Linked DNA regions of Schizosaccharomyces pombe. The gene in region 1 interacts genetically with each later gene. Each region holds a gene or a part of one and is shown on either strand. Other genes may lie near its edges.

What was found.
Region 2: mutations in wdr7 (region 1) and spf1 together harm fitness more than expected from each alone (negative genetic interaction), as found in Schizosaccharomyces pombe (2 studies listed by BioGRID).
Region 3: mutations in wdr7 (region 1) and sac12 together harm fitness more than expected from each alone (negative genetic interaction), as found in Schizosaccharomyces pombe (2 studies listed by BioGRID).
Region 4: mutations in wdr7 (region 1) and rhn1 together harm fitness more than expected from each alone (negative genetic interaction), as found in Schizosaccharomyces pombe (2 studies listed by BioGRID).

What each region holds. Positions count from the first base shown.
Region 1 is NC_003423.3:2,266,851-2,276,592, forward strand, and holds wdr7 (WDR7-like protein), read right to left. Parts: upstream 6,403-9,742; 5' UTR 6,345-6,402; intron 6,108-6,344; 5' UTR 5,927-6,107; coding exon 5,661-5,926; intron 5,581-5,660; coding exon 4,468-5,580; exon of another isoform or gene 4,425-4,467; coding exon 2,723-4,424; 3' UTR 2,718-2,722; downstream 1-2,717. Other genes in the region: imidazoleglycerol-phosphate dehydratase His5, read right to left, coding at 1-466; SPOM_SPBC16H5.14C (DHRS family dehydrogenase), read left to right, coding at 1,752-2,146, 2,198-2,328, 2,383-2,717; SPOM_SPBC16H5.12C (uncharacterized protein), read left to right, coding at 7,223-7,234, 7,289-7,451, 7,760-7,871, 7,931-9,742.
Region 2 is NC_003421.2:361,756-369,451, reverse strand, and holds spf1 (Set1C PHD finger subunit Spf1), read left to right. Parts: upstream 1-3,969; 5' UTR 3,970-3,973; coding exon 3,974-5,248; 3' UTR 5,249-5,692; downstream 5,693-7,696. Other genes in the region: bouquet formation protein Bqt3, read left to right, coding at 457-612, 662-1,273; vsl1 (SNARE protein Vam7), read left to right, coding at 2,463-2,498, 2,535-3,524; SPOM_SPCC594.04C (steroid oxidoreductase superfamily protein), read left to right, coding at 5,719-6,753. UniProt on the Schizosaccharomyces pombe protein: The Set1 complex specifically methylates 'Lys-4' of histone H3.
Region 3 is NC_003424.3:2,058,732-2,066,757, forward strand, and holds sac12 (inositol polyphosphate phosphatase), read right to left. Parts: upstream 5,052-8,026; 5' UTR 4,911-5,051; coding exon 3,075-4,910; 3' UTR 2,842-3,074; downstream 1-2,841. Other genes in the region: fpb26 (fructose-2,6-bisphosphate 2-phosphatase), read right to left, coding at 520-1,746; eisosome BAR domain-containing protein Pil2, read right to left, coding at 6,122-7,273; rad55 (DNA recombination mediator, RecA family ATPase Rad55/Rhp55), read right to left, coding at 7,937-8,026.
Region 4 is NC_003423.3:1,032,230-1,039,338, forward strand, and holds rhn1 (RNA polymerase II transcription termination factor), read left to right. Parts: upstream 1-3,292; 5' UTR 3,293-3,308; coding exon 3,309-3,456; exon of another isoform or gene 3,457-3,504; coding exon 3,505-3,605; exon of another isoform or gene 3,606-3,673; coding exon 3,674-3,868; intron 3,869-3,915; coding exon 3,916-4,635; downstream 4,636-7,109. Other genes in the region: serine/threonine protein kinase Ppk27, read left to right, coding at 4,848-5,553, 5,621-6,156; chaperonin-containing T-complex theta subunit Cct8, read right to left, coding at 6,318-7,109.

The DNA.
Region 1 (9,742 bases):
TTTCACAGGACAATTCCCCAACCTTTTCACGCTTTAATCCCAAATCGATAACAGCATAGGGCCGTCCCGACAAGTCAACTACGCTTCTAGAAAGAGCTTCGTCAAGTGGACAATAAGCATGTCCAAATCTTTTAACGCCGGCAAAGTTACCCATAGCCTGCTTGAATGCAATACCAAGTGCAATAGCAGTATCTTCTGCAGTGTGATGATCATCGATGATTAAATCACCTCTTGAGTAAAGTCGTAAGCTCCAGCCTGCATGTTTAGCCAGTGCATGATACATGTGATCCAAGAATCCAATTCCCGTGTCTACTTGGATTACTTGTTCTCCCTTTTGGTTTGCATGCTTGGAAGTTATAAGTTCATCAATAAAATTCGACTCTTCAGGTAAGGGAGCTTTGTCCAAAGCGATGGCAACGCTGATTTTCGTTTCGTTCGTATTTCTTTCTACAAAAGCCCTCCTCATCGTGATGCAAAACTACTCTTTTCAATTAGATCAACCGAGAATTACAGGAATTTATGGAAAACTTCCTTATTAAAAAATGACAAATAGTTCGGTGTCGTGAAATTGCAAGCCTTTTCACCCAAAAGATTTTTGCTAGATATTAGACTACCGCTATATCCAGCAAGCCAATTACAGGTACGGTAATTATTCGATAAAGCAAGTCAACACCCCATACACAAGATATCCTTAAACGAGGTGAACGATGTTTGTTAAAAATTCGCTGAAATTGGTTATTCATATTCAACGATATAAATGAGTTCAATGTCTTATTGTAAATAGCGTATTTAATTAACATGATATTAACTTTTCCTTAGCTTTAACTACGCAGTTTTGTATGGGAATGTAACGTCCGTTAGTGCACTGGAAAAAAAGTTATCTATAGATTAAACTATGGCTTTTTTATTAGGCATATAAAAAGTAATAATGAAATACATTTTAAAAACTTGTAAAATCTGCAACATCGAATTGAGGACCCGTAAAACTAATGAGCTGACCCTTTTGCACTTTATTTACTTTGTACGTAGATGCCTGAAAATTCCAACTGCGGGTTACCAAATGCAAAATACAACATCAACATGCGTTGGGATCATTTAATAAACATTAATTAATAGCATAGTTGAATGCAATGATATTTACTAACATACATATGTTCCTTTGATCTATATGCAACATAGAAAACTGAGCACGCTCAAACTTTCAAATATTTTAAAAACAACTAGTCGAAGATGAAGGGAAGGTATAGTGTGTACTATGTTTCAATATATAAGGAAATTGAAGACGCAATTCTTAATCGCATTTTTTAATGCTTCTTTTTATGATAGGCGTAATATTTTAAAAAAAAAACCATCACTTATCTTTGACTCTATAAGACTAATCAAGTTAAGATCAGGATGGGCATTCCATTTTTCGTAGTACGGATTGAATAATTTAGTTAACAAGTTCAATACAACATTGGCGATACTGATCAAAACTTTATTATATAAGTTTATAAAAGCAGTGTTCAACGATTTAATGAATTATTCTACTACGCGTGATTTTTGCTTACACTAGGAAATAGCTTTTGTTTGGCAGCATCTACTAAGGTTCTCTCCTTGACTTCGTCAAATACGATATTAGGGTCTTTAGACGATCAGAACTTGGACGTTAACTTATTCGAAACACAAAAGAGTTCGCTGCTAATGTTAACGACTTTCTGCCAAGTTTCCATTCAGCAACTTATCATATTTTTCACAGAAGTCATTCCCTGATGTTGAATCATATATTATTATTGGTGATTTCGCTTGTTTGTGCTGCCTTAACCCTTTCTTGGTTTCCTCTACTTTTCAGGAAACAATCCTATTCATGTGCTAAAGGACTGATTGTGATAACAGGAGGAAGTGGGATTCTTGGTCATGCTATTATTCAAGAGGCGTTGGATAGAGGCTTCAGCGTCGCCTCTTTGGACAGTACTGAGCCTGCATCTTTTCTACAGTACAATTCTAAATTTAGTGCTTTGAAATGTAATATTACCAAAGATAAGGACGTAGAAGGATGTGTCCATTCTTTGAAAAAGATGAACAGGACCCCTTTTGCTCTGATCAATGCTGCAGCTATTGCTCCAAAAAATCATTTGCTGTCTATATCAAGACAAGAATTACAAAAGTAAGTACAGGTTAAGCGTAGTAAGCCTTATTTTCTAACTGCTTAATTTAGATGCTTTGAAACAAATGTGATCGGACAGCTGGCAATTACATCTGCATTATTTCCTCTCCTTTTACAAGATCCAAATCCTCATGTGGTCAACATAGCATCCTCCTTGGCTTATTTTAGTGCGATGGGAGTCGGTAAGTGGGGTTGATTTTATAAAATTTGCTTTTCCTTTCTAACGTGATTAACAGGTGCCTATTCATCTTCAAAAGCGGCACTAGTTTCGCTACATGAAACATTAGAGGAAGAGGTTTTATCACAGCATCCCAACTTCAAGTTTTCTCTTTATGTTTTAGGGCAAATTAAATCTACAATGTTCGAAAAAGATACCCCAAACAGAGTATTAGCCCCTCTACTAGAACCTCAAAACTTAGCAAAAATTATTATTCAAAACTTATATACAAACAAATCGGGTCGTTTTTACTATCCATTTTACGCACGTTTTATGCCTCTACTGAGGTTTTTCCCACTTCCAATACAAAAATTGGCTCGTCTATTTAGTGGCATGGATAAAATTTATTCATAATCCACCTACAAGTCAATGATAGCAAAGGTGCTCCCAATATGGACTTCTGCTGATGACTGGCTAATCCATAGGACTTCAGGAATTTCAACCTCATTCGTTTTGTTAGTTTGTAATAATATACGTTTTCGGATCGTTAATGAAGGTGTTGATAAGTTCAAGAATTTTACGAAATCTTGGCTGTATTTCCAAATAATGCATTCCTTTTGCGTAGCACTGACTCCAACAAAATAGTCACCAGAAGGACTGGCGGACAATACCTGAATATCACATTCGGCGTTTTCCTTGCTGACGACTTTCCTTCTTTTAGCTATTTCATAAACCACAAGATCACCATCGTCAATGTAGGAATATTTTTCCACCTTACTATCAAAACATGCAAATGGAAATTGGGTTGCAATTGCGTTAGTAACGTCGTGAACTTCTTCAACCGAGCGGCTAGAGTAAAGGATTGGAAGTAATTTTTCCGTGATCAATTGATTAAATAAAGAAAATTCGGATTGTGTGTTTTCAATTGCCAAAGACACAACTTTTAGTATAACGGAACGTAAATTTGATTTCATTTGCTCATAAACTTCATCGCATAAACATGTAAGCAGTAAAACAGCATTCGAAACTGAGACATCCACTATTGATCTATAGAGAATGCTATTTTTATCATCCAAATCCTTAGTATTCTCTAAGGATGACAAAACCAGGTTGTATATAAACTTTGCAGGATCAATATGTTTTGAAAACACGGAAAAACCATTACTCAACAGGCGAATTGCTGTTAAGTCATAGTCCATACTTTCGGATTTTTGTAATAAATAGGAAGACAAAAATTTCAATTGTGAAACATCAAATGCTGAAGGCCGTAAACTGACAATTAATGACAAGATGTACAGTGAATGTTGCACCTCCTTTTTCAGATAGTACTCTCCACCTGTAGTCGTAAAAAACTCAAAATAATAATATATAAGCCTCTGAAGTTCCTCTGGAGATATAAGTTCCAATGTTCTCGACAACATTGATTTAATTATACCCTGCATAACCTTGCCTGAATTATTCCAGACGTATGAAAGAACGGAAATACTGTAATCAACCGTTTTCAGGTCTTTTAACTTTAATAATATTCCTTCAGTCAATTTGGTATCGCTCAGCCCATCATATTTACATAAAGGAACCATTAGAGAAAAATATAGATATAACAGCAAAGCGGAACAATTTGGTGCAGTATTTATTATTGACTTCATTTCGGTGTCAAATCGAAGTATGGCATTTCCATCTGGCTTACCCACACCAAGATGCAAACTGGATTGATCAAAAACAGTACCTAACAACTGATGCTCCATCTCTATATCAGAGTTTAGGAAAGGAGGTTGGATAAAGTCAAGGAACTCGTCAATATACGTTTTTTCTATGTAATTTTCATTAGAAAAATTGAGGTTCAGTACTAAATCATGAGCGTCTAAAAAAACAGTAACCAAATTATCGGTGAGTAAAGCACAAGAACCATGATACAAAGTAGGGAGGTTAGATTTATCAAAAGTACCAATAGATATGAACGAAGAGTCAATAATATCTGAATAATTTCCTTCAGAACATTTTTGATCCACAACGTCCCAATTTAATAGTTGAAAATTGTCATAAGCAACATAGATTTGATCTAAATCGGGAAATGAGTACAAAGTTTCAACTTGAGCACCATCAGATGGCAAGTAGCTTAGACTATAAAAGTCGATTAATAACTGATAACACACTGATAACTTACAGATTATAAGATTCATCCAAGGCACACAATGAGCCATCTAAACTCATAAAAATAAATAAGCCTGATGAACCAGAAGATAATGATTTCTTTGCATGAATAATTTTAGTAATTGAAGAAGATTGCAAAGCACGCTCGCAGAGAAATCTCCATCTTTCACCCTGAAGTTGTTGATAAAAGTAAGCCTTTCCAGTTTTGGTAGCAACAACTAAAATTGAGCGTGAATGTTCAGTTTCAAATATTTTCATATATGTTACAATTCCAGAAACCCTTGTAAAAGAGTAAAGAGGAGCTGGATCATTGTGAAGGTACCAGTCAAACAAAGAAAACATCACTAAACCAGAGGTTGTTCCAAGGAATAAATTAAGAGAGTCCGTATAAGCGTAGGAAACAGCAGCTGTATTGCTCAACTTACAAAGATTGCATGAGTCTACGGTTCCTTCTGTTAACCAATTGAAAGTTATTTTTTCGGGATAAACACACAAACTAACGGGTTTACTTTTTAAAATGGTGCACGATTTCCATGGAAAATCTCCAGAATACTTAGAAATTAATTCGAAATGAGGTTCAGGAGATTGATGAAGTTTGAGTAAAGTTGAAGACGAAAGAGTAAAAATACAAGCCGTGCCATCAGCCAAAACAAATACAGATGTTATCTCTGCAAGTGAATATGAAGCTATAAATTTCTCATGCGATTCCAATAGTACTACCGCATCCGAGTATACATATAGCGCATAATTGGAAGAAATGCAATCTGCTGGTACAACATCAATAACCTTACCAAAAGTTGGTTTAACATCTGCTTTTGTAACTGAATTTCTTTTAAAAGTAAGAGCTGACCAATCAACTGACCAAAGAGATACAGATCCATCTGAATAGGCGACAGGGATTAATAAAGCTTCGTCTTTGAACGGAAACAAAATAGGCCAGTCCTCATGACCAGTCCAAGTCGCAACTATCTGAAAGTTGGAGATTCTAATGAGATATATTTTCAAAAAGGTTCCGGTAACAGCAAGAAAGTTGTTATTTAATCTAAATAGCTTTAAACATAGCCCGTCACACAATTGCAAAGTAGCTCGTCGGTCACATGTTTTCAGTAGCCATTGACAAAGTAATCTGAGAAAATGTTAGCAAGAAATAAGTTAAATAATGAATTTGATAATTGCTGCTCGGCTAATGAGAGTTGCTCAACATACCCAGATTCGTCGAGTGTAATGATTGATAGGTCTACAATTCCATCAGCTTCAAATGGAAGGCAAACTATAGAAGAAACGGAATGTTTGTGTGCTATAAATGTTTGGATCAAAGTGAAATGATTGTCTGTAGAAACGTCAAATACCATGACTTGGCCGGAACATTGGCCTACTATCAAATACTGATCAAAACAATGTATTGAAGACACGTCAAGGCCTTCATCTAACAAATGAGTTTTACAGCTTTTCGACAATGCAACCCAATCCATTTTGATTCGCAATCAACAACGGTCTAAGGCTGACATCAATTTTGAACGCTGTTCGAACACGGCTTCCCAAATAACCACTCAATTCAGTAATTGTTAAACCTTTTTAAATATAAAAGTAATTGAAAACGCAGAAAATGAAATTAAAACAATATTTAGGCAGACTAACAGTTGCCGCGATATTCTTGAATGTAAAATTAGCAAATTCGGAACGCAAACGAATAAACAAGATGCAACAAGTATTTGAGGAAGAGAATCTAAGAAAAATGAAGAACTTGCAACAGCCATAGACAAGAATGTCTAACAAATAGCCATGTAAACAATTCGTCCATCCGTCATTTAATAGAATGTATGCATCGACAGCTCCGATTGTATCAATCATTACATAAATCTCTTCATTCTTGAATTATATACAACTTACACTTCTCCAAAATTTATACCACTGCACACAACTTCGAATTCCACTCGGTGGTGGGAATGTGCTGCTGTGCTACTTGAAGCACGCGAATACTATATGACCTAGTTGATGGGGCGATGCCCTTGCTTCCAAATCTTGACAATACTTAGTAGTAAGAATACAGCGTACAAACGAGTTTAAGTTATAGTAAACGAGCATTATTTAATAACACAAAAGAGTATTGTTGTACATAGAAAAAAACCGAAAAAATTGCTAACAGTCTTATTTTATTCAATTTGCCAAATAAACAGAACATTTACATACTTCAAATGTTGTAAATTTCGCACTGCAACTAGTATTCAAATCTCAACCTGGAAAAACGATATAACGAAATTGAAATATACTTCAGACTGTAGCATCATCTACTGTACACGAGGCAAACTTAAGTCATAGTATGTGTAAAATAAGTTAACAATTCCATTCCAAAGCTGCAACATTTAACATATACCCTAATAAACTCTGCCGTCCCGATTACCGAGCTTTCTCAAGAATTTTGTAATCCTTCATTGAAGCACCTTTTTTTTTCATATTTATATATAAATATATATATTAATATATACTAAATTTTATTTTTATTTTTATTTTTTGTGGAGTTTTATACTACAGAAATACAATTGTCACGTTAAAAATTTCAAAAACTATCTATTAACTGCTGCTTTTTGTGTATTTATATATTTAATTTACTTTACTTCGTTTGTGGTGGATCTAAGTTATAACATTACGAAGCAACATTCTCTTATTGTAGTAGGAAGTAGTACAGTGCCGAAACTGAGGCATCATCACAAAACCCTTACTCAACACCATTTACTGTTTTATCCGTTTCATTAGATTTTTACGATATAATGAGCGTGGATGTAAGTATAGATCTAATGAATCTTTGCAAAAATTTTAAACTAATTACATAAAAGACGGCTAAAAGTGATATTCAAGCGGAACCTTCAACTGGGACGCTGGAAAATAAATCCTCTAAAACGTACTCAGATTCCGAGAATAATTCCACGTTGGATGTTTCAGCTCAAGTACTCACATTGGATAATAAATCCAGGATCTTATGTATTGCCGATGTTCGAGGTAAGTATGCGTTGTTTATGGATTTAGAGCTGCCAGCGAGAATTCAAAAGCACCCCATCGGGGGAATTATCGACGATCGTTTTACTTTTTAAGATAAGAAGATGCGAATTTGTATGCTTTTGCATGAACTTATCCATAATGGCTTAGCAGGAGTTGAAGCGCAATTGCTCAATTTACTCATTTTGTCATTAAAGATCCTCGTTGGTTCGTAAAAGAATTTTGTCCATACACTTTATTCTCCTTAGCTATTCCTATCCTTAAAATTACTACTCTTTAATACGCGTTTTTACTAATAACTATCCCTTCAGGTGAACTGAGTTTAATAAATAGCCTGGTTGAGGAAACCAATGCCTCCTGTGTCATCCACACTGGTGACTTTGGATTTTTTGAGCGATCCTCACTTCCTAGCATATCTGAACGGTATGTTTTGTGTCAAAAATTTTTATGTTTCATTTTTCTTTGTTCTAACCTTTTTTCAGTACTCTTCGTCACATTGTCCAATTCTCGCCTCTCATAAAAAAGCTTCCTAGGTCCAAAAACTTTGATTATTATCCCTCGAATCCAATTGGGGATTTGAAGAATAGTATTGCTTCTCACCCCGATTGCCTGCTTTCAGAATTACCTCAATTTTTGTCACAAGAGAAGAAATTCTCAGTCCCTGTATATGTAGTATGGGGAGCTTGCGAAGATGTGCACGTTTTGGAAAAATTTCGTTCTGGAGAATATTCTATTCCAAACCTTAACATAGTGGACGAACTTCATTCCTACCTATTGCAAATTGGAGATATGAAAATCCGTTTACTTGGTCTTGGAGGTCCTTATGTCCCTTTTAAGCTTTTTGACAATGGAGACGGTAAAGGAACTATTGCTGGTGGCCAGGGTACTATGTGGACTACAATCCTTCAAATGGGTGAACTAATAGAAACCGCTAAGAGCCTGCTTGACAGAGAGGAGGCACGTATTTTTATTACGCATCATCCCATTGGAAGAGAAGGTGTTCTTTCTCAATTAGCTACTGCTTGCCAGGCTGACCTGACTTTATCCGCCGGTCTTCATTTTCGTTATGGAGCTAGCTACAATGAGTTTTGCGTAAATCATAGTCCTGAACATTATCTTCAAAAACTTTCGGCTGCCCGTGCACAGTTTATGGAAGTGTATGACACTGTTAAGGCTGAGGTTGAGAAGATGGTTACCCCTGAACAACATCATCTAATAAACAATGTTGTTCGCCTAGTCTCTCGCATGCCCGATGCAACTAACTCATATGCTATGAATAACATGCTTCCCGGCACTGCTTTTAAAAACCTATGGAACTTCAATTTATTAGATGCTTCCTTTGGATGGACTGTTTTTGTCGTCGAAAATGGGCATGTTCAAGTGGAAAGCAAATCTCATGGCTTTAATTTAGGCTATCGTCGCATGGCTTCACGTCGTAACGAAAATTATGCATCTCACATTCCACGCTCAACTTCGGAAAATACCGGTACCTATTATTACGCTAACAATAGGTTGGTGGAATCTCAAGCACAGTTTACCAAGAACAGAGAAGCTACGGCTACACCAACCGAAGAAGAACAGATTGAAGGGTACGATCAGGAACATACTGATGAGCTAGGAATGTCAAGAGCGAATACTACAGAAGAGTCGGCTGAGACTCATGAAGTAATCGAAGAGAAGTCGGGACCACCTGCTGCCGAGGAAGAACCCATTTCTGGCGTAGCAGAGAAGCCTAGTCCTAATGAAGAAGAACAACCAGCAATTGGAGGGAAAGAGGAAGTTGACGTTGAAGAGGTGACTAAGGGTACTGGAAATCTCGAGCTAGGTGAGACGACTACAGAGGTTACCATACTTGAACAAGAGAATGCTGCAAATGTTACAAGATCTCAAGCACAAGAAGGTAGAAGAACTGATATGCAGAAGGGCAACGATCGTGAATTCCGTCAATATAGTGGTGAGCAGCGTTATGAACGTTGTGGATTTCATATTACCCCTTGCAATTCTGAAGAGGAAGCCCGTTCTTACTTTAAGGACGGGACAGACAGCCTGATTACGAATATTCAAATTCGTACTTCACTCAATCGTTACAAAAGTCCCCAAGCTCCTCAAAACGTAAACCCCACTAACTATGCATATGTATTTGTTGAAAACCAGAATGCTGTTTCAAAGGCCCTTGGAAGCATCAAAGTTCCAGAAGGTGTGCGGGTGAATATCATGCGTGATGATTCGTACTATCGTCAAAATAGAGGATGGTATCGAAATAACCGGATGGAGGGACATGGAACTGGAATGCG
Region 2 (7,696 bases), on another chromosome or scaffold:
TTTTTGGATTATTATTTACGATCATTTAAGTTAATGAACCAACTCCATGAATAAGTTAAAATTATTTTAATAAAGTGAAAATAAAGGTAATGTTTTTTTTTTTTAGGGATAATTCAAAACACATAATTATTCATGGTAATAAAGGCATCGGTCATTCTTTGTTTTTATATTTCATTTTGTACCCATTTTATGCTTAAAATCCCACGGTTCTAATGTTTGCACGGAGAACACTTTCTTGCAAACTAATCCTAGAGATTTAATAACACGGAATTTCAAGAAAAATATAATTTTGGTTTTCCATAGACTTACTACCTAAATTCAAAGGATCCTGGTTTCCTGCTGATTCATTATTTACCATTTCACAGACTCCATTGTTTGAAGATACTGTTACCTGATCAATCGTTACTTGTGTGTTCATCGATGACAAACTATATGAAAACTACCAATATTCGCAAAATGTCAGGATCGAAGTGCTGTTCGTCTTCAAACACCATAAAGGTGTCCATTTACCTATTTTTACACACGTTAACTTATGGCTTGCTAAATTATCACCTCAATCCACGATTATTAGCTTCCACGGGGGTGGTGGAAAGTGATATTCCTTACTGGATGGTATGCAGATCATTATATAAGTTTAGATTTACTAACAATGGATTGAAAGAGTTATTTATCAATTATTATGCACGTTGGTCAATCTCTTCTGTTGCAGAAATTCAACCTAGGTTATGGATGGCTTTTACTTACGAAATATCCAGTATACGTGCTTCTCTCGACCTACTACCTTACTCCTTTGAGTCAAATTGCTTGGGCATTCATAATTGACGCCATTTCTTTGCTAGTGGCGCGCTGTTTCTCTAGAGCTAACCCCATCAAATGTTCAAACCAAGTCAACACACAGTATAGTGTCTCTTTCCTATTCACAATTATGGCGAGTGTATTGATCAGCGTGCTTAATTATATATCACAAAAGATATTCTTAAACGGTCTTATTCTTGGAAACTCCCATAACGTTGTTACTAGTCTCGTTGCCCCTCCGCTCCCGTTACAATATCTTGCCCATGTACCAATTGGTTACGTTATTCAAAGAGTCGTGTTTAGTGAAAGGCCTATTCCCCAATCATTATTTTTGATGATTTTCCTTACTCTGTGGAATTGCTTTATTCCTTATTCAATTTTGTTTTCAATGAATTGGTCCGCCATGTTCCAAGTGGTGGGTGCTTACTTGTCACAAATTTGGATTATCACTTTTATCTGCTGGGCATTGTCTCTGTAAAGTTCGAGTTCTGTTTCTTTTACATCATTTTTTTTCTTGTAATGTAGTTAGTTGGTTGTTTACTTCCTGGTGGAAGTTCTCATGGGCTTATCTTAATTCATTGTATCTGTTATGGGATTTTCCAAATTTGTCTATATGTCTTTACTCGTGTTCAATAATTTCAGTGAGGTAACGTCAAACTTTTTTCATCAGGTTAATGCCCTTTTTCTTCTCTTTTTCATTTTTCGTTTTCACGGTGGAATTTATTTCTGATGAAGGAGGCAGATTTCTTCTTTCTGAGTTGAACATCATGTGTGGAACTGACTATGAATATATGTAATTTAATGACTGTGGTTTCAAATTGATTCCGAACTCTTTTAAAAGATATCCATTGTGGGATGTTTCGTCCTTTATTCTCATCTATTAGGGTCGCATAGTTTGAATTGGATGATCGTTCAAAAGCAGTATATGGTTATACTTTAAGCAAATGTGAGAAGTCTTTTCGCTGTATATTTTTCCCTCTCGTGATATGAAAAAACAGTTGTTAAGTTCCACTAGTACTATTATATATCATCTGTGGGGCCTTTATATTTACATGACATGTATTTTAAGTGAAAAATCTTTATGCATATCAGAGTACTGTTGTTATTTGGAATCTACCTATACTTACACTTTTGCATAATGTTACGATCTGGCGTTTATTCTGTGCTTTTAATACTTTAGGCAAGTCGCGCTTGCAACCAATCCATGTAGGAAAATATAGAAAATAAACAATTTCTGTTTATTACTAAGCTTCGTTAAGATTTTGCCGTTCTTCTGTTTAGGTATTGTAATTACTTGTAAGTTGCACCGTTCACGAGTGCCAAAAAAAATACTCAATAATCTGACTATAAAGTGTTTAAAGGTATAAGATAATATACTAACCTAATTCATTATTTTAATTTCTAAATCTATTGCAAACTGGTAAACTTTCTTTCAATACCTGCCAATTCGATAATCGTAAAGGCATCTCGCGCATCAAGGAAAACATGAGGTTTAAAGGATCTAAAGCATCATGAAACTGAAATTTATCTTTATTCAACTAATAGAACCTATACTATTTGAAAGCTCAAATTCTACATTATACAGTTTTATAACGATAGTGCAGTAAATCCGATACAGTAGTCTGTTGTTCATGAACTCATTGTTGATCAACCTGTTCATAGCAAGTATGGCGCTAAAAATTAAAATACCAGAAACGTCTCAAGTAAGCTTTATTCCTTTAATTTTTACTTACAACTAGTCTTCTGATGAATATTCACGATGGACGGTTTACCATATTGAAGTAGCATTTCCGAATGGTGGGAAACATGTTGTATTTCGTCGGTTCAATGAATTCGTTGCTTTGGATGCTCAAATTCGGCCAAATGACTACAACAGTAGACTTTGCAAACTCCCCTCTAAATCTTGGGTTTCTTCAACTGTGACAAATGAAAAGTTACGTGAATCTCGACGACTTGCTTTACAAGCTTACGTTCAATGCCTTTCAGAAACGCCATGGATAAAAATGCCTGTGGTTAAAAAATTTCTAAATATTAAAGATGAATCGGAAGATGAAACACAGGGTCAGTTTTTGGGTCCGACAGATTGGATTCAAGTATTTCAAGATTGTAAACGTAATTTACATATGTACCGAGTTGACTTAATGAGTGGAAAAAGCATTACGATAGGAGTTCAAACAAAGAATGTCTATGCAATAAAGTCGCTAATGGATAACCTTTCAGAATCGTTAGACAAATTAGAATTAGCAAATGCTCTTGGTCCAGGAGAAATCCTTCGACGAAAAGATATGTTAGAACAGCTTGGTTCTGAATTCTTGTCATTTAAACGGTTAGTTAAAAATGCAAACAGCCCAGTCGCTCCTCCTTCTGCCTCATCTCAATTAAACTCTTCTAATCCTAGTTCTCCCTTTCGCCCATTATCTGCATCTACTGACAAACAATCTAATACCTCTTTGAACAGAGTCCTTGGAAAAAACAGAATGCCAGAGACACAGACAACAAAAAAGCTTGATAATGTAGGACTGTACAACATGCAGAATCAAACTATGGAAGATCAAGATATGCAAGCAGAATCGTTATTGCCTATTATTCAAAGGCAGAAGGAGCTTTCGAAAATGATTAATCAAGAAGTTGTCGAGCAAAACTCCATGTTAGACGAGCTTTCTAATGAAGCATATGCAAACCAAAAAAAGCTACACAGAACACGAGCTGGCCTTCGCAAATTGGGTTAATATTTGGGTGTTTATGAGTATTTGATTTAATTTCACGAAATTTAATGGAATCTTCTTTTGCAGTTTTGTCTTGTTTTCTATCCAATTCTGCTACATTAGTGATTGTCTTGGATGAGATTATCTGGGCTAAAAATATTTATTATTTGGTGTATTTGCGTTCTTTCCTTTTTTTTTTTTTTTGTTTAATCTTCTTGAAGATACCGCAGTAACCTCTGTGAGTTATATAGGCATGGTTAGTTCGTCCGTCAAGGTTGAAATAATTGTCTCCTTTAATTAAGCTTGATATTAATATACGACTTGTTTAAATTTCAACTTGTTTTGACAGACCCCATTTCTTTTGTATTTTGGTTTGGCTTGTAGTTCCTTTTAATGCATTTAGTGTACTGTGCTTAAGCTCGCTTTCTTTAGATTTTACTTATTGACAGACTTAGACAACTGAAATTCCAATAATGGAATTAACGCAAGAGAATACTGAGGAAAATGAAAAAACTCATGTAGAATCAATTGTAAAATTTGAGGATTCGAATAGAGGCACCATTACTGATTTTCATATCGAGACAGCTAACAATGAGGAAGAGAAAGACGCCAACGTAATTCTCAATAAATCTGTTAAAATGGAGGTTGAAGAAGTCAACGGTCACGTTGATTCTTCCTCAACGGAAACAGACATAGAAATGCAAGTCATTCAACAGCCTACAATACCCAAAAAACCACCCGTATCAGCTCATAGAAGGGGTCCACGAAAACACCGAGGAAATGCGAATAGCCAACTCAATCTGTCTACAGCCGATCATCAAAGACCATTGTATTGTATATGCCAAAAGCCTGATGATGGATCATGGATGTTAGGATGTGATGGTTGCGAAGATTGGTTTCATGGCACTTGCGTTAATATACCTGAATCTTATAATGATTTAACTGTACAGTACTTTTGTCCTAAATGCACAGAAGAAGGAAAGGGTATAACTACTTGGAAAAGAAAATGCCGGTTACGAGAATGCTCGAATCCCACAAGACCTAATTCCAACTATTGTAGTGATAAACATGGAGTCGATTTTTTTCGAGAAAAAGTAAAGCTGAGTACGGTTGAACCTTCTGCTATAAAAAATCTTGTATTGTTTGCAAAAAAAAGGGAAGAATTTCAAAATTTGGGTACGGTGGGACCGACATTGCCAAGCCAAGTTCCTCCTGAAGTTGTGTACAATTTTGAAATTGAGGAGGCCAATAGGCTGAACGCAGAAATTGTGCAATTAAATAAAGAGAAAGAAGTAGCATCTAACAAAAAAATATTTCTTCAGTTGATCAAAGATTCTTCGCGGAGAGCGGTTCTTGCTTACAAAGAAAGAGAAGGTATTAAGAAAGATCTGTGTGGATTCGATTCTCGACTTTTATTCAATCAACAACAAATGAATGAATTGTGGGAAAAAGTTTCAAATGGAGCACCGCTATCTCTTGACATGAGTATAGATCCTTCTCCTGAGTCCACCTGCTTTACAGAGAAGCGAAGATGTGCAAAGCACACAAGCTGGCAGGTAATTTTTACCGAAGATTTTGAGTTGCAAGAAAGTAATATTTTACAAAAACTAAACATGAAGCAAACTGCCAAAGATGTAATGTTGGAGCATCAAAAACAGAGGTGCCTACCCGGGATACAATACGACGGTTATGCTCGATTTTGTCATGAACAGTTATCTCCCGAAAAAATGGCTAATTTATTAAAATAAACAGAAGGATGCATCTTTTGGTTTAATTTACAATTTTGAAGTTTGCTTTAATTTCTAGATCATTTCATGTAAATCACGAGGCATTGATTCGCAAATGTTAATGAAAGAAAAGTTTATATTGCTTGGCATTTGTCTCTTAATTTTGGCTTTAAATTTATTGACTCCCTGTTTCGCAAAATAATGTTGACAGATGGTAATTTGGTTTTTCCTTCTAAAAAGTCACTTTTTAACATAAGGACATACATTCTACACCCTCTCTTTTTATCAACTCATGTCTTAATGGCCTTGAGGTTTTCTCTCTCTTTTGTTTTGAAATTTATTTTATTTTATTTTTTGGAAAACGCAGGCTCCTTGGATTTCACTAATCCTTCTTATTCCAGAAGCTAACGTCACAATGAGACAGAGGATTTCGTGGAGCTATAGAAAGCCAACTTTCTGACATTCCCATTGTTCTTTTTCAAACGAGCACTATGACTTTGGCATCCACCATGCCAATTATTTATTCGGCATCTGATGCCGCAAAATGGAAAGTTGCAGTATCTCCTTACCTGTATCAACTGAGCAATTTGAAGTTACTGTTTACTGGAAAGTTGAATTTTGCAGATTTTTATTATAATACGAATCCATTTGTTGTAGGACTACTTCTCTCATTTATTTTGGGAAATGTGCTTTGGGGAGTGTCTGTTTGGACGAAAAATACATCGCAAGTGGATCGGCTATGGCCAATTCTGCCAACGGCTTTTTCCTTGCATTTTCTGTTTTATGGTTTGGGATACAACATTGCTTCGCGAAGATTAATGATTATGGCATTTTTGCAGACTCTATGGTCCGCGCGTCTTACTTACAATTATTACCGTAAAGGAGGTTATAATCGAGGAGCAGAGGACTATCGTTGGGTGAGAGTTCGCCAAATCATGCCTAAATGGATATATCCATTATTCCACTATTTTTACATTCATATCTTTCAAGTGCTCCACCTATATTTGCTTGCATCTCCCACGTATATTGCCATGTTGGCTGGAAACGAACGAGCATTTGGAGCATGGGATTGGATAGCACTCGAGCTTTTCATGTTTATGTTTGTGCTAGAAATGCTAGCCGACCAACAGCAATGGGATTACTATGAAGCGCGAAATCATTACAATGTCGACAAAACCGTGCCACCTCGGTTTAAGTATGACTTGTTGTCGCTTGGACGTGGTTTCAATGCTACAGGGCTCTTCCGATGGAGTCGCCATCCCAACTTTTTAGCAGAACAACTTATTTGGCTTTCATTTTATCTATTTGGAGCGATCGCTTCAGAATCACTATTGAATTGGACGATTTTTGCATGGCTTGGACTAGTGGGCGTTTTTCAAGGCTCGACCAGACTTACCGAAAAGATGTCCTGTGAAAAATATCCGTTATATCGAGTGTATCAAGATAAAGTCGGCCGCTTTTTTCCTCGATTAGATGGTAGTCATTGGGATATTGTGGATGACGATGCATCATTAAAGGAGGATTAATGGAGAAACAAAATGTTCCTCTATTAGTGATCCATGGATCTCGTTTCATTTTCATTTGTCAATTGGTGTAACAAAACCTTTTGACGTTTTACCCCCTCTCTAAAATTTGGTTCACTGTAATTTATTTATGTATTATTATCTTGTGTATCTATCTTAGTCTATTTATCCAATGTTTTGTCGATGAGTTATGCAAGCTTTATTTATGCAACTGATCCGTGAATTTTTTTCCATGCTGATTTGTGAATTCTTCATCCATGTTATAATATGTGGTGGCTTTGTTTATAGTATTGCTAATGTCTATTAGGACACAGAACAGAAAAAAAAATTTGTTTTTATTTTTTGAAACAATCCATTTTATGAAATCTCAAACTCAACTGAACTTCGTCTCTTTGTCTTCAAACTATGTGCGGCCTTCAAACCATCTATCAAAAGTGTTTGCTTCCTTAAACTGAATGTTAAATTTTTTTAAAATCTTATCTTTTCACTGTGGAGAAAAAGAGGGAGGGAAAAGGGAGGCGAAACCAACCCAATTCTTTTCCGTAAACTCATTCATTCACTGGAACGTACATCCGTAAATTCATTCAAGTGTTTATTATTATTTTCTTTTTTTCATTTGTCTTTGTTTTTCTGACATTTTTCTCTACCATTTTCTTCTGTGCATCCGCCAGTTGCTTGGTTCCTAAGCACCACCTATCATGTGAATATTTTCTCACACACACAGTACAATTCCTTCTCTGTTATCTTGGCTGCTTTATCTGTGTAACATGGTTTACCATTCACACGGAGGGTTAGTTTTATACGTTTACTCATGTGAGTAAGAATTTTTCCATTGGTCCATTACACATTTGCAGCCTGGCTTAGAAGATGCCTTGTTGATTTGAGAACATTGCTTTGTCTCATGCAATTTAAAAACATTAAACGTTGTTTCTTCTATTAAACTTTT
Region 3 (8,026 bases), on another chromosome or scaffold:
TAACTACTAATACTTTGTTCGCTATTTTGTGAGTTTTTCGATATCTTTAGAATTATGGATTTGCTATCCTTCCTTGCTTAATTATTTGGAAAGTATATACCGTATAACTTTGATTGATCTCGAGAGCAACAGCCACAGTTTTGTAAAACGTGGTTGAAGCTCGATTCTAGAAAAAAAAAAGATAATTTTGCCATTCATGTCTTAAATGCTTCATAGTGCATTAAAGATAACAACTTTATGAATGACATACACAACCAATTGATGGTTCCGAGTAAACTACTTTTTTCTTTCTATTTTCGTTTAAAAGATTTGTTCACGTACAGTAAATACTTTCGGCTATCTGCATAGTGATACGAACTTTAGGTAACTGGAAGAATAATTAACAATAAACTTTGAAAAAAATAATTTTGTATTGAAGTCATCAATGCTGCATTTTATTATTAAAAAATAATTCACAACCTTTGAAAAATTCTGATCAACGTTAAAGGAATAAATCAGCACATTATGAAGAATTTTCTTTCAATGTTTGCCGCGTTGAGTAGAAACAGCAGAAATGGGGACTGTAACACGCTCCTCTATCGTTTCGTATGTCATTGGAGTGAGTTTAATTATTGTATGTAAAGGAACATTAATAAATGGTAATTCCTCAAGTGAAAGATTATGATAGTATCCATAAATACAACGAAGAATAGCTTGATGACATATAATAAAAACATCTCCCTGTCGTTCTAACTCCATAATAATCGGCTCTAACCGCCTTACTACGTCCATATAAGATTCTCCGCCACGATATCTGTAATGAAATTTATCATTATTTCGCAATTCGGCTTCATGAGGAAAATTCTGTTCAATATAATCATAAGTAAAACCATCACACGTTCCTGCATCTAATTCATCCAGTGCTCTCCATTCGAGCTTTTGGCAATTAAGGTGTCGAGCAGTTTGGATAGTCCTAGCCATTGAAGATGTCCAAACCGTAAGTCCTTTTTCACCTATCGAAAACTTAGCAACATATTCAGGAAGAAGAGCAGCATATTTTAGTCCTTGAGGACTTAAGCTTGAGTCACCACCTATTTTTCCTTCAACATTAAATTGACTTTCACCATGTCGGCTTAGCCAAATACTTCGTCGACGCGTACGCAAATTAGAGAGATAATAAACAATCCTAGATTCAAGGTAATTTTCAAGTTTATGAACTATCAGTTCGGCTCCAAAGTCCACAATTCTAACGAAAGTACATTCTTCAGCCTCGGACAAAGGTGTGTAGTGTTTCTCATACTCATGAATACTATCAAGGATTTTATTCTTCGATTCTTCGAACGGAAAGCTTTTGAAATATGGTGAATGCTGACACATATCAGTAATGTTTTCATCGATAATTTTTTGATTTGTGCAGACAACCTCGACAAACATTAAGAGCATATTCCGCGCTTTTGCCAACTCCACTATACTTTTCCGAAACTTTAGTGTACATTGGTTAAAATCAAGAATCGCAACATCAGTACCCTTTTTAAAAACGCTCTCCAGATTATCGAATATGGGGCTAAGAGTTTTAGCTAAATTCTCTGAATCACTGTTAGAATTTTCGGACAACGAATTATCAATTTCTTTCGTATCATAAAGGTGAGTAGAAACGGACATCCATGTCAAATATCTGGATAATTTCATTGCAGAAGATGTCTTGCCAGATGCGGGTAACCCCACAAAGCAAACACATAGGCCCAAAAGTCCTTCAATGTCTTTCATGTTCGATCTTAATGTAAAAAAGTTAGTTCTTAATTTAAATTTTGGGTGTGGTTATGTTGCAAACAAATATTAAAGAATAAATCATAAGAATATGACCAGGTTGCTAATCCTGCCAGAATCGGGTTGAATTATTAAGTGAATATGTTAAATAATGAATATATGTTAAAGAGTCGTATTTCGCTCGAAATGTATGATTCGCCTTGAAGAGCTTGATGGACGGTTTGCAGTACTCGTACTTATGTTAAGTATCCTTAGAGTATGTAGTGAACTCGTCAATGCGTTAAAAAGCTATAATTTTTAAAAAGAAAAACGATTAAATTAATAATATTTAACAGAACGGCTTAAAATATACAAGTTCAGAACATTGCACTCCTGCTAACATAAACAAGAGGGGTATACGTGTAAGTTCAAGCTTAATATACTAAATTGCAGGTCTTCGTTACGCAGTATTATTGCGAGAGATGTTTACGCTTCCGTAAGCTACATTAAGTGATCTCAAGTCTTTGACTTGGTACTAGGAGTAGTTAAATCCACTATTAAAATAATATTCAAAATTAAGTGTGAGCATTTCCATTTCTATAAGCATAATTATGCTAAGCTGATTGTAAAAGTGTATATAATCATTTTCGTAATATTGTGGAGTTTTCATACAAAAACTGTCGGGTAAGGCATAACTTCATCATTTTTTCAGTAATGTGAATTGTGAATTAAGATTCTGGATTGGAAGTATTAGAAAACGTTGCTGAACTGTATGATCTTTTAAAAAATTCATTTTTATAACATGTTCATTGAAAATATTAAACCAGAATGCCCCTAAATTGGAAGAAGTATGTATCCTAAATATTGAACATGAACAACACTTATGAAATTGAAAGAAAGCTTGGCTTTTTCATATATTTCATTTACTGTTTAAAACCGAGTAAAACTTGAGTCAAAAGCCTCAGTGATTCAATGGTCAAAGTTGCCCAATATTTAACACTGACTTAATAAAAGTTAGAAATATTAATTTTGTCTGCTATATTTTTTTCGTGTGTTATCCATACTACAATAGTTTGTTAAGGGCTCTAACAATTATGAAAATCTTAAATTACTAATTGATATTGGTAGGAAGCTTGGAGCAATTAAAGAAAATAAAGTTACAATTACCAATCACGTAAAATGATCTGAATTAGTCACTTGATAAAGTTGGGTAGCATCGCTTTGTTCAGTAGCAAGATTGACATCTATGAAGTCTAATGAAATAAAGAGTGAACTTCGAGTGTTCAAAGAGCGTTTTCTGCTAATTAAGAGTTATAGCAATACTGTTCTTTAGTTATTGAAATGCACAGTTAGACACTTTTTTTGAAAGAGCCGGAACGCAAAAAACGAAACACTTTAAGAGTAATATTTCGGAAATGATTACGAAACGAAAACCAACCTCCCTTAGCATACGTTGGTAGTACTAGACGAGGCCAATTAACGTATTGTCTACGATGAAAATATAGGTAGATTCCAGCATTCACCATAGGGATAGAATATAACAGACGACAGAACAGACTTGGATTTCCAAATAATTCTTGTATAGTTAATATTATCGTGGTGAACAAAAAAATTCCAGGTGCCACAAATCTAGTCCAGTGAAAACGCAAAGGCAAGTCCGGAATCGAAAGTGAGTCGTAAGGACGAAATACTCCAAGACCCAAATCATAGCTATCTTGCAGCATACCGTCAAAAAAATTGTTAAGAATATATCTACGAAAGCAGTTTAATAAATCTTTGAAAGCTCCAAAAATGGTTCTCGTTCCATGGCGAGTCACATCGCCTTTTAAGGCCGGGGTACCAGTGTAGAGATCACTGATATAATCTCCAGTATTAGCCCATATTAAGCGAAAATCTTGTAAAAAACTATCATATTCTTCCAAACTCTCAGAGCTAGAAAGTACACCAATATCGTGTAATTGCATGTTTAGAATAAACTGTGCAATGCTAGTCTGAATGACGTTCGTCCGATCTAAGCAATCCATACAATTTGTCCTTACAAAGTTGGTTTGCATTGCAGTAGTTTTAGATCCATGCTCGGCATAATATTTTCCTTCTATCAAGAGACTTTGAATTTCAGCAAGAAACAAAGGGAGATTTCTACTTCCTTGCTTATGATAATCGTAGTAAACATAAGACAAAGGAGGGTTTTTATTTCGTTTACATAATTTTTCAAACCCAGACCGTAGAGGTGCTTCACGTCCTTTTTGGTCTAGAAGATTGACCACCACAAGATTGTCCCCATAATCGTTGGCAAGTTCTTGAAAATGCTTCCCAAACACAGTCTCGCTATAATCAAGAGGTTGTAAAGATAATAAAGGTCGATAATGAAGATCATTAACTTCGGCCCAGAACATGGGGATACTTCCTCGAATTTGAGTAAAAGAAAGAACCATTTGTTCTTCAAGGGTGATGGGTGATTCGATCATTATTATTTGTTCAATTTCATTAAAATTAGCAGCACTTCCTTGTGCGTTTACACCTCTGGTGAAATACCGCGTACCCGCATAGTCAGGAGAATGTCGTGTAATAACACACAGTCTAAGGTTATAAGTCTTTAAAAACGAGTTAGTAATGGCGATATTACCCTGAATCATCGGTTGAATCCATTCTTGAAAGCCTAAATCCTTATTCGTCAATTCAATTAATTCATGAAATGCATATTTATTCCAAAAAAAGCGGTAATTATATTTTGATGTCAGTTCAAAAGATTGGGTTAGTACGCGTAATCTTTGAAGGGAACAGGTTAGATCTAACGTTGGACTAAAAAGTATTTGGCCTTTTGACAAATGTTTATTGAGCAAACTGATATAATGTAGTTCTTCCTCATCTTTAATATTTAGCAGACCCGTGGAGAATGGAAGAGTCCTTGTAATTGGGAAGATAGCAAATTTCCTTGCCCGATAAATATTGTTTCCGAGAATTGCTGCATGCAAATCACAACTTGTAACAAGAACTACATATTTGTATATTTTCAATCGAATAAATCCATATAACTGAACGTTATTATAGTCAGGTGTCTTGCTGAGATCAAGAGAATTGCTCAAACTAAGGCATCCGTCGACTCTATCTATTCGAAGAGAAGCTTTTTTTTTGGAACATGATAGATAAATGCTGTCTGGAAATACTCTAACGTCCTGATTCATTATTTTGTTGTATTTGAGAAGCGTAGATGCTTTTCTGCTATAATGAACCCCGGACTAATGTATTTTCCAAATTAGGTCTCAAAAGTAAAAAATGAGAATGCTATATTTACAAAAATTCAAATCAAACTCTTTAATGTCCATGAAACGATTTTTGAAGGCTTGATTTCCAACGCAGCGCCTGAGTAACGAGTTCATTGTTACCTGAAGGTTTATGCAGCACGTTTTACAAAACGAACTTTCAGTGACAGTGTAATGTATGATATTATTAACAATTCTCATTGCACTATGTAATGATACGTAAAGTATCGCTATTCATTGTACCTTTGCTTTACAAGATAGGTCGTCTGGTGATGCTGATACTCCCCAATTACCTATATTAAGGCTGAACTACAAACTATAATTCGAAGAATAGGCAAACGAAAATCATAATACTGTATGATATTATTGATTTTGAGAGTAGCAAAAATAATTAATAATTCATCGTAGCGTTTTTCAGATATCACAGAAAACATACCATACTCTATCGCATAATCAAAATAGTTTACGAGCCTTCTTTGACTGCAAGTAACATATAGGCAATGTCGCTTTATATTTTGATACATAATTTCTATAAAAGTTAGGTGTTATATGATAACCAACTCTTCGAAAGGAAGCATATGTTTTGCTTTAATTAAGCTTTATTGATATTTTTACCGTTGTTAAATAATATATACTAAAGATCTGACCCAGTTGAATTTGCTATCTATGTTGTATTGCTTTTTACTAATACAACCGAACTGCCAATTTTTACATAAATATTTTATTAAATCGGATTGAGAAGTAAAAATTATAAAATCATACATTTAATAAAATCCTTTTTCAACACAAATAATCTCCATTGTTAATTAATTGCTTTAACCAACAACCTTGTTAAGCCTAATTTTGACCGCAGGAATTAAAAAAAAACACTAAATAAAAACAAGATAATTAAGAAACCAACATCTGCGAAACATAAAACTCGGTGGAAAATAAATATGGTTAAACGACATAGACACAAAAACAATGGTAATGAGAGTAACGTGAGTATTAGTTCGATAAGCATGCATATGTAGCAATAGCAAGTGCTTAACACGTGCTAGCAAATTATGTGAATTGACATGACAAAAAATTCACGTCAATTGATGAATGCGTAAGGATCACCAGAAATCGCGTGAATACACACCAAGACTTGCTTAAGCAGCAATAGGTTGTGCACTAGTGCTAGGCATAGACGTTTCAGCAACGCCTTGAGATCCTACTTCTTCATCATCCTCCTCGCCAATTTCAAAGTTATCAACAACTTGGGTGCTTTGAAGAATGTTTGGTTGAAAACTAGGTTGATAATCTTCTGTACCCATTTGAGAATATCTTTTACTACCTGTAGAGGTGTAAGAGTGTGTAGTGCCGGAAGTAGTTACACCATTCGCATGAGAGTAACGGCGTGGAGGTTCATTGATTACATCTGTGCGAGGAACGACACTAGCTTGAAATTGTGTTTGATAATGACTTTGAGAAGGCAAACCATCAATGTCGGTAAGGGGTTCAGGAGTTTGGAAAGGATTTTGCCAATTAGCCAACTCACGTTCAGCCTCAACAATATAGTCACGGGTTATGTTGTAACCATCGTAAATAGGGCGAGGCTCACCGGGAACAATGGGAGTATCGTCCAGGAGATCGAGGATCTTCTTGGCATACCCGCAAAGAATAGCAACCTTTTCAGAATGCTCAAGTAATGTACCAATATGAAGAGTAAAAGCACGTTTAAAGTTTTCGCGGGTAATGTTAGTTAACTGCGCTTCTGCAACCAAACACGCAGCTTCCTCACGAACTAGTTCCTGTTCCATAGTAATAAGCTTTGGGGACTCAGGATCACGGCTTCTAACATCATAAATGGAGTTAAGTAGCTTTTCTTTCTTAACACGGGTGGGTTGAACGCTAGCCTCAATATCACGGATGGTCTTCAGACTAACACGATATTGATCGTATCTGTCTACCATATGCTCCTCAAGTTCGCCAATTTCATATAAAAGTACACCAAGCTTATCACTGATATCGCTAATATCATCATCGCAATCTTCACCCCAATACGAAAGTTGATTGGCACATTCTTTGCGCTCCATGGCAACGTTTTCATAAGATCGAAGTAAATCCTTTTCCATCTTAACGAGAGCTGCAAGGCGTTTAGCCATTTCGGGAGTAAACATACCCACAGATGGATAACGGAATTGTCTGCCGAGTTTATTAACATTTACTGCACGACGGGTAGTAGAGGGAGGAATTTGATTCTGTTTCGCTTTAGGAGGCGCGCGAAGCGTATGAATAGAGTAAGATGGTTGAGTGCCCATCATCTTGCTAATTACTTGATAAACGATTTAAGACTTTGAAAATATGTATATATAAAAAGAGAAAGGAAATACTAATAAAAAGGTTAGTATGTTAATTAGAGGTAGGTTGAAACAATGTTCATTAAAACATACTTAATCCGCCAACTCACACTAGACAAAGCGAAGTATAAATAAGGTCAGGCTCAAAATGGACTTATTAGACTACACTTTCGAAAGTAACAAAAGAGCTGTAAAGTTCAGGTAGATTTTTAGCGACTTGAACCCATGTTTTAAAGATTTGAGCTAGGCTTGAGACGTCACTATGTCAACATGGAATTTATATGTCGAAAGCATAATGTCATTATTGTCCGTACACTGAATGCGACACCTAAACAATTGAAAATTAATAAGGACTTGTCAATCAGCAAACATATAGATATCTTAATCATTTCCCTCCTCTATGACAATTAGCAATTTCATAAAAATGAACGAACAAAATAGCTTATGATACATTATGAAAAGATATGAGATCACAAATAAATCATTGAGAAACTTTTGACCAACACTCGACAAGTATTCATAGTTGTTTATGCAACGTAATGAATAGGTATAATAAATTAATAGATATGGGCAAAACAACCATCACTATGCTAAAAAATTCGTAACTGAAGCCACCATTTTTACCTAGGACTCACATTCCAAAATGGATCTCTTACGTCGTTGTGAGCTATTGGTAGGAATACTTTGATAATCCTGAATACCAGTAGATGTTAA
Region 4 (7,109 bases), 1.2 Mb from region 1:
GCATTAAAAAGCACTGTTAGTTGCAGAAATGATTGCAAAACCAGAGGAAACAGACAAGCACTTACTATAATATTTGTAAGGATAAAACAGTTTCTATTAAATTAAAAGGACCAAATGAGGGAGAAAATTTATACAGCATATTAGGGCACATTAATATGAAGACGCCCAAGAAATATATAAGTGAACAGACATTTGATTCGATCTATATTTTTGCGTCCGCAAAATCTTAAAAAAAGTACTTTAAGTATACTTGATGTGTATCTTTTATAGGAATCGTGTATTTTTACTAGTGACTTAAAGTTTATCATCAGTTGCAACTCATACTAGCGTATGGCGCTTTACAATAAAAGAAGGTGATTAATTTGTTATAGGGTCAATTTTATATGGCAGTTGAAGTTTTCACTGGTGAAGTGAACTACCCTTCTAGATATTGCAAATATACGTCTTTCACTTTAGAAGCTTTAGGATAGAAGGTATCAATTGACATCTAATTATATAAAGCATCAATTTCATTAAAAAACGTTTAACACCGAATCATAAAACATCAAAGAGAAAACATACAATAAAATATCAAAGTATCAATAAAAAGCGAATAAGAAAGCAAGATATTTGAATAAAAACATAAATTCAATGGAACTGATGAAATTCATATTCAGTACTCGCTTTTGACCATAAGCCTACTGTATCACGAAGTCGCTTTTTCAACTTAATAGTCTCAGCAGGACTAAACGTTATACCGTATCCCTTAAGATATTGGACACACTGTTCCTTTGACAATTCGTCAATGTCTTCGACTCTTTCTATCGGCGGTAATCCACTACTAACCGGCTCATTACCATTCAGAAATGGTACTGGTGACGCCAAATAACCTTGGTCTGAACGAGTTGCATTTTCAAGCTTTCTTGTCAACATGATCGACCTACATGAGCGAGCATCAATTGTTTCCATTTTCTGATCCATTGAGTCAAGTCGCTGCTCCATAGAGTCAAATCGTTGGTCAATAGAATTAAATCGCTGCTCTATTGACTGAAACCTTGCTTCAGTTTTTTGTTCGAGTAAATCAATTCTAGTGTTCAAACGGATCGTTTCCCTTTTCATTTCAACCATTTCAACTTTCATTTCGGCCATTTCGCCTTTCATAGATGTCATCTCATTCTGCATAGCGTCAAACCGAGAATTCATGTCATTTTGCATTGAGTCCATTTTAGAAAATATTCGTTCGAAAATTCCACCTAGTTTAGTGTTTGCCCATTCATCTATCCAGCGTGGAAATTGTACTTCTCCCGATTGTTCTTCAGAAATTTCCCTTTCAATCGCTAACTTTTTCCATCCTTGTAGCCTTTCATTGCATTCAATTTCATATTTCATTTTACGATCTCATTCCTCAATATATTTTTTTCAAGTGCTTCTCTTTTGTTTTCGTCAATTTCTAACAATGTAGAATCTACAGATCTCTCGTATCTTTCAATGAAAATTTTTAAATCTTCCGCAGAATCATTTGGTGGTGGCAGATTGTAGTCATTATCAAAATTCTCGTTCGACATCATCCTTATTATTTATACAAAACCAGTTGCAATAAACCGCAGTATTCTTTTTAACGATAAAATTTCAATTCACTATAACTATACAAATGATATCTTTTGTAGCCTGCCTTATATGTTTACTAATTGACAAATATTTCTCAGAAAGGGAAATCTTGGAAAATAAAAGTACAAACGTGTGTTGAAAGCAATATTTAATATATGTGTTGTAAGTAAATTCAAATCTCTCAAGTTCCCCTTATATACAACTTTAAACAAAGAATGCTAAGGACAAAGAAAAGAGTTTTTGATGGATTAAGAAACAAGGTAACCTAAGTAACTTCACACTGGGAGTACGTGATACAGATAATGAAAATGGGCTTTATCTGTAAAATAAAAGAAAAATGGCTTATTTGCAGGTAACTTATTACAAAGTTAGATTTATTGAATAGAGGAGTATTTGTTTAAAAACAAACTTCGATTGCAAACATGCATAACAAAGTTAATAGAAAAACATTTCTTTATCCTGCTTTATTGTATTCCTCTTAAGGGATTCTCAACAGCTCTAAATAATCACGAAATATTTAAAGAAAAGGTATATTACTCATTCAAGCTATTAATTGTAAATAATATAACCCATAGCTACAACAAATGCGTTAAGAGGATATAATGTTAGCTACGCAAGTATTTAATTTAACGATACGTAGAACTACGGTGTTTTCCTAGTGATCTATTATATTGTAATTCGCAAGTAATATATAAGTAGCAATTGAGATTGGTATTCTAATATATGGGTTATATTGTTGAATAGATGAATGAGCAAATACAAGACTTGAAAAGTCCTTCAATGATATATTTCTGGTATAGAGTGTTGGCGAAACGACATGAATTCTGAGTTTGACGCTACGCAGAATGAGATTGCATCCATTAAGTTGAAATAACTACTATGAAAGGTGAAATGACTATCATTGGCAGAAAATGAACATTAGTTTTATACGTTGACATTCTTACGGCACTTTTTATTTACAATTTTGCTTACTACTAGTCATCCCGTTTTAACTTTGTTCTTAGGAGTTAATTTATTTTACTTTATTCATTTATTTTTTTATTTTTTTTGAAACTCGTATTATCGTTCAATTTCAGAACATCTTTACTGCTTTGCCTGCCCGGTTGACAAATAAATACGATTTCAAACGAACAATTAGTTTATTATATAATTTTTTACGTAAGTATATGCCATAGTTTATAGTAATACAAGGGAAGCAAAAACAAAGTCTCAATGCGGTGAGTAGTATATAGTAATTCCTGCTTCAGACAAGTCATTAAAACACACATTTGCACTCCGTACACATTTCTCAACACGCCGAATAGTTTCTTTTCATAATCCCCAACATATAACATCACAAGATTTCGTCTAGCATTCTTACCAAAACTCGTACTGTAAATGTTACAGTGAGTGATAGCCGTTAGCTAAGATGACCTGCTGAGACTAAACAAAATCATGAGAAAACGAATAATGTATTTTATATACCTAATATTTAAGAGGGAATCTTGGAGAAAACTGGGTAGTTTGAGAATAATAAATGTTCTTTTCCATCTTTACAAATGAGACGAAGATTTTTGCTCTACCCAAACTAATTAATCTGTTGTTTCAAAATCATTTTAAGTATAGGCTATAATGTAAAACATTGATATTATACAAGAAGTATTTATTACTTATGCTTATGATTTCGTTTGCGATGCTAACAGCAGTGTGTCGTAAGAAACTCACCATCAGCATAAAACAAGATGGCTTTGACTCCAGACACTGTTTCTTCAAAGTTGGCTACTCTAAATGAAACACAAGAAAGTATAACGGGAATAGCGCATTGGGTTATGTTTCACAAGCGTTATGCTGATGAAATTGTCCAAATATGGCTGGAAGCTTTGTATGAATGTATGACTCCTTTAGGAATTTGTTCGATTGTCTAACTAATTTAACCAGCTTCTTCCAACAAAAAGCTTTTATTGCTTTACCTGCTCAACGAAGTCGTTCAACAATCCCGGGTCAAAAAAATATCTGAATATATTGATGCCGTTTCTCCAGTAAGTTACTATCATTATGAGCTTGGAACATCTCCTATATGGTTTAGATTCTAATAATATTTGCATAGTATGTCGTAAACTCTGTAGCTGACGCGTACGCGTCAGTTCCTGCTTCCATTAAAACAAAAATCAAATACGTTTTTGACGTTTGGTGTCAACGCGGCATATTTTCTAAGGAGATACTTTTATCCTTGCAGGAAAGGTTTAATAATGCCGAGAACAGTGGCCATTCTAACTATTACCCCGTTGGCCCTCCGGAATGGGTATGCCGCAATTCAAATAAAATATCAGAACTTTACTAATTGCATAGGCACCTTACACTCGTTTAATGACACAAACTAGTTTATACGCAAAATCTGCTCACTCTACCAAAACTGTGGTAGATGCATTGTATAAATCATACTTGGAGAAACAATCAGATTATTCTGAACTACTCGATAATTATAAAAAGCAACTAAATAAAGCCTCTGAATCATGTAAAGGTAATTATCAGGCTTGCATCGAATCCCGATCCACACTCATTACTTCCTTGGAATCGCTTATAGAAGAACAAAAAAAGCTACTTTCAGAGGAAGAAGAGAGCCTAAAATCTGTTGAATCCATAATTTCTAATTTAGAGAATAAGGAAAGTACAACAGCTACCTCTACCTTGACCGATGCAGGTTTTGGAGATAAAAGTTCTACTGCTGGCAAACATAATGTAGAAACAACATCACCTCCGTCTAGTTCTCCAAACAGTGATGATGCTTATTCTCCTCAAGTAGATTCTTACTCTCCAAGCATTAACAGCGTACCATATACTTCCAATATTGTCGAAAATCCATCTGAAGACAATCTCTCTCCTCTTCCTCCTCCTGCCAGTGGACCCTATTCCCAAGAAGAAGAAGAAACATCATTATTTAAAAGCCAGAGAAAAGAAGAAAATGAAGAGGAATCTAAAGAATTACCAGAAGACTCAGATATCTATGGAAAAGATAGTTCTCCCTCTTCGGACGACTCTAGTGCAGCTGGTCTATATGGTGATAGCTGAAATCCATGAAATGTAATGCTTAGTTTTCATTATTTTTCTTTTTTTTTTTAAACTGTCAATCAATGTGGCAGTCTTAGTCAATAAGCATTTTTAGAATACCTATCCTAACCTTTTATATGCGTCAGTACCTGACTTCATCCTATCGAAGCCGTTTTTGGAATTTTGTATATTTCGAAGAAAGTTGAGCCCTATCTAGGAAGAATGGGCTTTTAATGTCTGAAAAAAAACATTCTTGCGAAGAAAAATCGCTGCAACTATATCCTCTTTCAAATAAAATTCGTCATGTAAATCCGAATATTTCAGCTCTTCCGTCTGAGACTGATATATCTGAATCATTGACGAACGATTTAACTAAACTAGAAATTTCTAACTATGCTCCATTTAATAGAGATTTAGAGACTTTTTCCGATTTAATTTTTGGCTTAACTAATATACAAAAAAAATCATTGTATTCTCTTCAATTAGGCAGAAGTAGAGGATATGCTTTATATTCAGACGAGAATGAGAAATATTTGTGGTCTATAAATACTAAAATCACCTCTACGGAACAAAGGGAAGTACTGCTTGTCAAATCTAATAATAAGAAGTTTGATACTTCCATCGTCCTAAAACATACTCACTTATCATCCAAGTCTCAAAACGAAAAAAAAGCTAGAGTAAAAGTATTTCGGCAAGAAATTTGGGCCCTCAAAACTTTGTCGCATCCATGTGTTGTGCAGCTATTAAATTACTACGTTTCCTCCGCCGAATTAATACTCGTAGAGAATTATTGTATGGGAGGAGATCTCTATCATTACACTAAAAAACATCATTCGGATTTCAGCCTTGAATTTGTTGGGCGAATTTTTTCTGAGTTAGTACATACAGTTGCTTACCTTCATTCCAAATGTTTGATTCATAGAGATTTAAAACTTGAAAGTAAGCTCGATGAATAAGGATTTTCAACTTTTACAGTTATGATTTTAAACTAACACTTTGTCTTTAGATATATTGCTTACCCAACCTTATAATGTTATAAAGACGATTGATAATTGGAAGAACTACCCAAATGCTTTAATTCAGATTTCTGACTTTGAGCTTTCTATTTTTGTTGACAGTAAAAATCATTTAGTGCAATCCAGCTGCGGCAGCCAAGAATATGCACCACCGGAAGTTTATATGGGTATTGCACATGATGGATTTCGCGCGGACGCTTGGTCTCTCGGAATAGTTTTATTTGCACTATTAGAGGGTCGTCTTCCCTTTGACTCCTACCCAACTTTGGATCCTGAGAATGTAAGGATCAAACGTTATGTTCAAAGGCTTGTAAGATGTGATTATACATGGCACTTATGCAAATCGCCATTCAAAAGATCTACTGGAAATACTAATGATAACGACGATCCTTCATGGCGGTTCCGCTTATTTGTGAAAAAACTTCTCAAAAATAGAGACCAGCGCAGCACACCGACTGAATTGTTAAAAGATTTTAATAAACATGGCAACTTTACTTTACCGTTATTAGAGAACGTTACGATTTAGAGACCTTTAATGATAAATGTCTTACTTCAATGGATTATGTCTGTACCTAATTATTTTGATAACGCGCTTTTAATTTCAATAGAAAATTAGTAGCAGATTTTTACAAAAACTATTCATCGTTTTAATCCAATCCTAGTAGAAAAATGAAACTCACTTAAATTTTAATCATCATCCCAATGAGGGTTGGGGCCAGGTGGTTTTGGACCTCCAGCTGGTTTAGACATAACAACTTGATCAACGTTTAAAACAGTGAGTACAGTTTCAGTTGCTAATCTAATTGCTGATTTTTTTGCTAATAAAACATCAAATATACCAGCTTCTTTCGCATCTAATGTTCCATCATTTTCACATTCAACATCAACTCCAATTGATTCACCGTTTTCCTTATGATGGGCAGCATAAAGTTTGCTAATAACATCAGTAGGATCTAATCCAGCGTTTTCTGAAATAGTCCTAGGAACAACCTCAAATGCTTCTCCATACTGTTTGATTGCATGTTGATATATACCAGGAGTTTTTTCACCAACTGAAATTAGACGAATACAGAGTTGCATATCACTAGCTCCAGCACCAAAGATTAAACGGTTATCTTTGACCAAAGCTTTTACGATATTTACACCATCATCAATCGCTCTTTCCAAATCATCCAAGTATGTCTTAGTAGCCCCTCGAAGCACGATTGTTGCAGTACGTGTAATATCCTCAACTTGACGGAATACAGTGACACGATCACCACCAATCTCAATCGTCTCAACAACATCGACGGATCCCATCTCTTCAGGCATGGGAACACCCATACGAGCCAACGGGGTAGCGCCAACCACCCGACATAAGCGACGTAATTCAAATTTGCTTGGCACACGAATAACAAGGATTTCAAATCTATTCAAATAATGTAAAACTAAGTCATTGACATTGCCACTAGTGACAACTACCCTAACACCAGCATCGTA